Saccharomyces cerevisiae S288C: one gene and its partner. Changing the gene in region 2 together with the main gene of any one other region gives a genetic interaction. Each region holds a gene or a part of one and is shown on either strand. Other genes may lie near its edges.

What was found. A genetic interaction does not mean that the proteins touch.
Region 1: mutations in GYP7 (region 2) and TRP4 together harm fitness more than expected from each alone (negative genetic interaction), as found in Saccharomyces cerevisiae (one large-scale study listed by BioGRID).

Annotation. Positions count from the first base shown.
Region 1 is NC_001136.10:1,182,994-1,186,389, reverse strand, and holds TRP4 (anthranilate phosphoribosyltransferase), read right to left. Parts: upstream 1,644-3,396; coding exon 501-1,643; downstream 1-500. Other genes in the region: SPC110 (Spc110p), read right to left, coding at 1-283; thioredoxin-disulfide reductase TRR1, read right to left, coding at 2,132-3,091. UniProt on the Saccharomyces cerevisiae protein: Catalyzes the transfer of the phosphoribosyl group of 5-phosphorylribose-1-pyrophosphate (PRPP) to anthranilate to yield N-(5'-phosphoribosyl)-anthranilate (PRA), the second step in tryptophan biosynthesis.
Region 2 is NC_001136.10:33,717-38,399, forward strand, and holds GYP7 (GTPase-activating protein GYP7), read right to left. Parts: upstream 2,762-4,683; coding exon 521-2,761; downstream 1-520. Other genes in the region: YPD1 (Ypd1p), read right to left, coding at 1-202; MFG1 (Mfg1p), read left to right, coding at 3,081-4,457. UniProt on the Saccharomyces cerevisiae protein: GTPase-activating protein (GAP) that most effectively accelerates the intrinsic GTPase activity of Ypt/Rab-type GTPase YPT7 involved in vacuole docking and fusion. It is also active, but to a lesser extent, on YPT31, YPT32, YPT1, YPT6 and SEC4.

The DNA.
Region 1 (3,396 bases), 1.1 Mb from region 2:
CTGACCTTGGACTAGGCGGAATGTTAGCCTTAATTTCTGGAAAGCTGTCATCGAATTGTGAAGCTTCACTAAATAGCCTTGTGGAGTCAATTGTATCATCAATGCTTCTTCTCTGCCTTTTCTTAACAGGGCCTTCGTTCTCATCACCATTATTGGCATTTGGAACCTTAGTAGGCGATACAACTTGTGTTTGCGTGGTGTTTCGCTTGGATTTGATAAATCCTACAGGCGTAAATTCCATGTTCTTCAAGCTCCCATTTGGGAGATGTGACGCTTCGTCCATGAGTGTTTATCAGCCCTTTTTCGCTTTGTGTGGACTGTAACTAACGAAGTTGCTTAAGATATCCGCGCACATTGTATTTGTTCCACATCAACTTTTTGTTTATTTGTTTTCCTTCAAAATGAAGGATTAAAACTTATAACGCGTAATTAGGGTAATGTTCAGCTTAGTACAAATAAAACGTCTCTATCTAGTTTAAGTATAACATATGAAATAATGTCTACAAGGAGCTCACACTATCTATAAAGTGTTCTAAAGAACGTAATGCATTACCAGAATGTATGCTTTCTTCTGCCTTAATGATCCCTTCCTTCCAGTTCTGGTGACCTTGGCTTAAACAATATAACACGGCGGTGTTCATCAAGATGTAGTCATAAATAGGATTATTGTCGCCAAGGTGGTACTTGCCGGACAAGACTTCTTCTTTTAGAATTCTCGCATTCTCTTTAGGGCCGTATGAAGCACACTTCGACAACTCGTGTTCTTCTAAACCAAACATAGAAGGTTCTAATTGGAAGGTCTTCAATTTAAGTTCGGACGATGTCGGATCAATATGCCAGACAGTAGTTTTGCCTATAGGTGATACTTCGTCTAACCCAACATGTCCCCAAACTATAAAAGTTTCGCTTCCTGGATATACCAAAGCGGCTGCCTTGGCATATTCAGGCGCAAGTTCCTTTGAGTAAACGCCCAATATTCTCTTGTTTACGTGGCTAACTGGATGTAGAAGTGGTCCCAGTACGTTGAAAACAGTCGGAATTCCAAGAAATTTGCGTATCTTAGAAACGTGGCCCATTCCATGATGAAAAAAAGGAGCAAGTAGAAACATGAACGTATTATCAGGCCAAAGTTTGGGCACTGTCGATGAATTAACCTTGAACATGTCACAGCCTAAAGTTCCAATTAGGTCACCAGCTCCACTATTGGATGTAGAAGCTTTACCACCGTGCTTACAAATTTTTAGGCCCTGAATTCCGGAGGCAACGATAGCAGCAGACGTGGAAACATTAAAAGTATTCTGTCCGTCACCACCAGTACCTACAATATCTAAGATTACTGGTCCATCTTCCGGGTGTAATTCGTCCTTCTTGGGTAAAGGTAGATCAACAAGGTCGGAATGTCTGAGCACAGCCTTTGCAGCTTCCGCAATGTATTCAGCCTTGTGATCAAGTTTAGTAACTCTCAAGGCCGTGAGAAAACTCGAAACTTTGGTATAGATGGAAAGACTCTCATCGCTATTTGTATCACATTTTTGCAAAAGACTTAATATAACCAGCAACGCATCGTGTAGGTCTGTGCTACTCAATTGCGGCGGAGAAGCCAATAATTTCTTGGTGTAAGATAGCAAAGTCGCCTCGGACATGATAAGGGAATACTAAGTTTTCTTGTGATTATTGCAGTTTAAATTCACTTAGTTGTCAGTAGCTGTAATATCAGATGCTTTATTATAAAGTTTTCCAGAAGAATGAATGCAACAGAGTTTATGTTTACTGAATTGTCTGGTCATGAATCATTTTTTAGAGAGTCAATCTGCGTAGGTTTTTTTTTCCTTTTGGCAAAGACGACAAGAAAAATGCAGGTGGGGAAGCGCAGCAATAATATTAGTCATAACTTAATAGTCGGTGTATAGGCAACCACGCGTTACAAAGTAAGCCGATGGCCTATGTCATGTGTCTAAAAAGTTTAATTCAGACACGCAATATATGTAGATTATGTATTGGCTTTCTCTAATAATGGGGAAAAGAAATAAAATTCATGGTTTGCTTTTTATTAAAGAAAAGGAGAAAGTAACGATTTGTTGGATAAGTATACAAAAATTTGAGTGTATCTATTTTATAATGGAAAATTCATCTATTCTAGGGAAGTTAAGTATTTCTCAGCATCCAAAGCGGCCATACAACCAGAGCCAGCAGAAGTAATAGCTTGTCTGTATTTAGAATCCTGAACATCACCAGCAGCGAAAAATCCTGGAACGGAGGTTAATGAGCTGCCTGGGACAGTTTTAATGTAGCCCGCTTCATCAGTGTCGACTTGGCCAGCGACAATCTTTGTTGCTGGAGTGTGGCCAATTGCATAAAATAAACCGCTGACTGGCAAATCGGTTTCTTCATTCTTTTTAGTGTTCTTAATCCTCAAGGCATTCAATAATTTACCATCCCCCTTAGCTTCTAGCGCAACAGTGTTGTAAAGGATTTCAATTTTTTCGTTCTTCTCAGCACGCTTTTGCATAATGGTAGAAGCACGCAAATGGTCTTTTCTGACAAGCATAAACACTTTTGAGCCGTACTTGGTCAAGAACTGAGCTTCTTCACATGCAGAGTCACCACCACCAATGACGGCCAATGGCTTGTTTCTGAAAATGGGGACGGCACCATCACACACGGCACAGGCAGAAATACCTTTTTGCCAGTAGGTTTCCTCGCCCGGCAAATGCATTCTCTTAGCAGAAGCGCCTGTGGCCAAGATTATAGCGTCAGTCGTCACAGGTTCTGCGTCTTCGTTAAATTCGGTCCATAGCTTGAATGGTTTGGAAGACAGATCAACTTTGGAAACTGTTTCCGTGATAATTTCAGTGCCAAACTTCGTGGATTGTTCTCTCATTCTGTCCATCAGTTCGCTACCTGTTAGACCATCTGGGAAACCTGGGAAGTTTTCGATTTCTGTAGTGGTGGTTAGCTGGCCACCGGCAGCAATACCGTTCGCCATCATACCTTCATATAGGATTGGCTTGATTTCTGCCCTGGCCAAATAGATGGCGGCGGTGTGTGCAGCTGGACCTGAACCAATGATAGTAACTTTGTTGTGAACCATTATTGATAATATGATGTTTACTTTCGTACTGTTCGCTATTTGCTGTATAGCACTTGTAGGCAAGTATAACTGAACTACAGAAATTAATCTACAAGCTCTTGAAACCTCGAGCAGTTGGGTCCACTCTTATACGCGTGGGCATTTTTTCCTTTTTCGAGATACTTGCGGGCGATTTTTTTTCTCCATGACTAAGGAGAAGCTAACCCAGCCAAAACCCGCCCCCAAATGGCTAGGCAAAGTGAAAGATTATTAATCCAGAACAGAATGAAACACTTACTGCCGTACTGTATACTGAAGCGTTCACA
Region 2 (4,683 bases):
CCTTTAAAAAATGGCCCAGATTGTCTAATTCGGTAAGATTTTTTTCACCGTCCAGCTGTCGTTGCATTTGAGCAAAAGTTGTTTGTGCCTGGTCGATAAATTGAATAATTAGACCTTTAGAAAAATCGGAATCATCGTCATCCATAGATATAATTTCATTTAAGATGGTCCAATTGATGATTTCTGAGGGAATAGTAGACATTATTGTGTGTATTTTCTTGTTTCCGAGAACGAGTGTTGTTATTTCTTTTGAATTTTTCAAAGAAATAAAACTATTACACGTCAGTGGTTATCAATGATCCAGAGCACAACTATCGACCAACCCAACCGGTTTAGAAATTAAAAACAATAATGTTCCTAAATATAGGTTCAATTAAATTTGATAAAAATATTAAACTTTTTATGTAATTTTTCTTCAGTTTTTCCGTTTCGGGCGGGTTACGGATGTATTGATGATTATGTGGCATAAACGAATTATATCTCCGGTATTCAATATGTAAAGTTCCGTTTCTATTTACCACTATTTAACGGAATTTTTGCTCCTTTGCCCTTCATGTCTTATGATAGGTTTTTTAGAAAGAAGCAGGGTCAACCTCTCGCTCTGACAAGGCAATACGCCGGTAGAGGATGAGGATGAAGAGGAGGATACGTTTTGTAAATCTCTTTCCATGACGTGCATCATTTTCTCAAACTTCTTGAACAAAAGCTCTGCTCTAACCATTAGGTCATTCCAATCCAACTTCCCGTTAAGTTCATTAAAAAATTTTAATATTTGGTCGAACTGATTTAGATGTTGTAAAATAGCTTGTGAGTTTTTCTGTAGAATGGCCAACATGAAGAATAATTGGAATTGTGAACTGTAGTAGAAAGTCCAGAAATTCTCCCAAATGTGCATAATATCTTCCATTTCAAATTCTCTCTTGAACCATACTAGAAGCATTCGAAAGCAAAAGAACAAGTTTCCTGAATCACACTTGTTTAAATGTTCGCTCAATTCGGGTAGCATTAATTGTACCAATTCCACGAGAGTTAACATTTGTTCATGGATGCCACTCTGGTCTCTTAGAAAATTTCTTTCCATAATGTCCATGAAGTGCGTAAAACACCAAAACGTTTTCCATTCTTCCTTCATGATGACATAAATAGGCGATAAAAGATCGGTCATCCCCTGCACGTAGCCTAAGTTTGTGTTGTAGACATTATAAGTGATAAGAATGTTTTGTAAATGTATCAAATGTGGGTTCCTGACTCCATCGTCTGCATCATCGCTCTCGTCATTAGCGGATTCGGGGCTGGTACTGTTATTTTCATTTGCTGGGAGTTGTTGTGGCGGTGGTGGTAATCCATCGATGGTATTGTATTGAAATATCTCCAAGTTTCTATCACAGCGTCTCACATCTTTAGATATTCTGAATAATTGATCGTTCCAATATTCCTCTTCATCTTCATCGTCAAATTGTAAAAAATCTTTTGACCAGGTTAGTTTCAATTGATCGTATTCCGCGGCTAAAGTTTGATCGATTTGTACCCTCTCGTCTTGAGAAGAATCCCACGGATATATTTCTAAGAGAAAACCCCAAACTTTCCCTCGCAAACTGTCATTTTCTAACCCACCATGAAATATGAAATCCTTAACTTCGTTTACCGTGACCCTCAGCCTCCCATCGTTCTCATCCCATAGCGAATTCCATTTCGCTTCCGTTAAAGGAAATTGTCTTTGCAGAGCATTATTTATTTCAGTATCACTTAATTCATCAGTTAGATTCAGGTCGTTGAAAATGTTATTCCTATACGAATCAAAGAGTTTGTTCTGCTTTTGATACCTCTCAGCTTCCTGTTTTACTCCTAATGACCAGTTTGCCAAATACACTCTTGCAGAGTCATAATCCTGTTCAATTTGTTTAACCTTCTCATTGTTCAGAAGCTTTTGCAAGTATTCATTGTCGATTTGTGATTTTTGTATGGGTGAGTTGTTAGTCAGCCAACTATCGATAAAATTGGTAGACTTGGTAGTCACGTCTGCTATCTTGCTCATTACGTTCCATTTCCATTCTTGGAATTTCTCGTTTAGTTTCACACCGGCGGTAGCGAGTTCAGTTGTATCTTTCTTCGAATTGTTATAACTTTCCAATAGATCCTTGGAAACGAAATTTCTCAAATCATTCAAAGAGGGATTTACTAACCAAAACTCTGGCTCTAAGTTTGATTTCTTGAGTTCCATCAGTTCGTTGATTTTGTTTCTCAAATCTACGCCACCCCAATACAATTCGTCCGAGTCATCAAATGGGTTCATGGATTTGCGTAGTCTTTTTAACTTGTCCGTAGTTGATGGGCAGAGTTGGTCATGAAAGAACAAGACAGGAGGTTGAAAGCCCGTAAACTGTTCTGTCAAGGGATATATTACCAGAGATCCGACATACCAACCATTTGGACTAGGAGGCCTAAATTGGATGCAGTATATTTGTGAGAGAGAAATTTCGAAAGCTTGACCTAAAGAAGTATTGACCAGGTTACTAAAGTTTATTGAATTTTCAATAACAAATGGTGTAGAAGTTGGACATGTGCCCACTTTAGCTTCATGTTTTAGTAGTTTTGATATCTCTAATGTGGATAAGCCAGATTCTGGGATATATTGGAGAATTGCTTGGTGGGATAGCTTATTCGCTTCCAATGTGAGTAGCAGGAAACCAGCAATATTATCTCTAGCATCGCTTGTTGGGTGTAAGAACACTTTAGATTTGCAGAATAGTATCTTACTCATCAGGGGATGTATGAATGACTCTTGTAGAACTTTGCCAATTTGTGCAACCTATATCTGAGAAACTGAATAGTATATTTGAGCACGATAAATTGATTTATATCTGACCAATTTATGGAAAGTTCTTAACTATTTCTTGCAAATGCGCCTCTCTTTATATAGAGCAGAACTTTGCCCCATATAGTATTGTTTAAGCCTCTCGGATTTCTTTTCTCATCTTGTGGGGCTTCCCGCCTGAACTAAAAATATTAACTATGGAGCAATAAAGACAACACTTGACACTGTTCATGGGGCAGAAGGAAAAGCAAAGATTATCTGCAATATGTACCAAGGCCCACCGCAACCGCCTCCTCAAGCTGTGCCGATGCCTTACATTGTGAATAATAACACACCACCGTACCCAAATGGTAATATTAACTTTCCTCCCACCGCGCAGCAGAATATACCGCCCACGGTTTATCCACAACAAGTGCCATTTCCAGGTCAACCACAGGGGGGTCAATTTCCACAGCCTTCATCAGAACAGCAGGTGTTTAACCAGCTTCCACAAGTGACTCAAACTTTTCACAACTCTGCGCAGAATACGAATGCAACTGGGGGCCCTGGCAGCGGGTCTATGCCAATGTTTACGCCGGTAGCATCCTTTCCCCATCCCATGGCTACAGCAGCAACGGCAGCTGCTCCGTTACCACGGTCTGCATCCCAGGCATCTTTATCTATGTTACGGGTGCCGTATCATGTAAGAAAATACTTATCTAATTTGGCGATGTTGAAATTGTACGAAATAATAAATGAGGTGAATACGGCAATGGGTAAGATTGGCCTGCTTTCATTCTGGACAGAATTAATATCAGATATTTTTACACCTGATGCAGTTATAAGGTATAGTAAAAAGTCTATGACAGATTATAGAGAATTCGAATTTATCATCCCAGTGTTCCCAGTTATTTGCTCTACATTAGGCAGATTTGGCATCGTTAGAATGGAAGTTAAGGTTTTACAATTGAAAACACAAGTTCTAAGTAATTCTACGATTTTTTTCAACTGTCCTCGTGTCACATTTGTCTATTATTATCCTGATGGTTCATATATTACACATTTTTCCCAAATGAAAGGTGCTTTCGATTTGGACTTGAAAATTAATTGGCTGGACGTATCTATGCATAGTTTTGTCCCTGATATTGAATGGAATGCAGTGGAACGGCTTTTGAGTGATGACACAAAGTCTACAGAAATTGAACAAATATTCCGTAAATTGAAACAAGAAGATGTCAAAGAGCAAGGGAATTCTTTTGCAGAAAATAATGCTACGAATGTTCCTCCGAATTTTGAGGCCATCACTCAGCTGAGATCATATTTTGACGTATTCAGAAACGTCTCTGTGTTTGGCACTCAAGAAGGGTTGATGAGAGTCATGCAAATAAGTACCGTTATGTCTACTTTGAAAAACCTTCGAAAGTTTCAAATTGAAAAGAACATTGATAGTCCCGTGACCGCCCTAAGTGCGTACATTGACGCCGACAAGAAGGACAGTGGAAGCGAGCCCTTGCACGCAAAGAGGCGACGCAACAGCGGTATCTCTCCTCGCACCACGACGTTGGGGCCAAACGGCAACTCCAATACAAGCAATGAAGAGCTTCCAACAAGTGATGTGAATGATATTAACAAAGACATGACAAAAAAGAAGATGAAGTTTTAAAGAAGGTAATTACCTAACGTCACCCACTGAAATATTAAGAGAATTGCATGAATCTAGCAGAATGGGAATGTGACATGGTAGCAGCAACCGCAAGGTGTGGCATAGATTATAGTAGTGACAAAACTGTACAATTACTATATAGTGAGATATAATACAATGGTTTATTCAAGATATATTAACCCCCGGGTAATGGACCAAATTTGGAAAAGTCTCGGATTCTCATAAA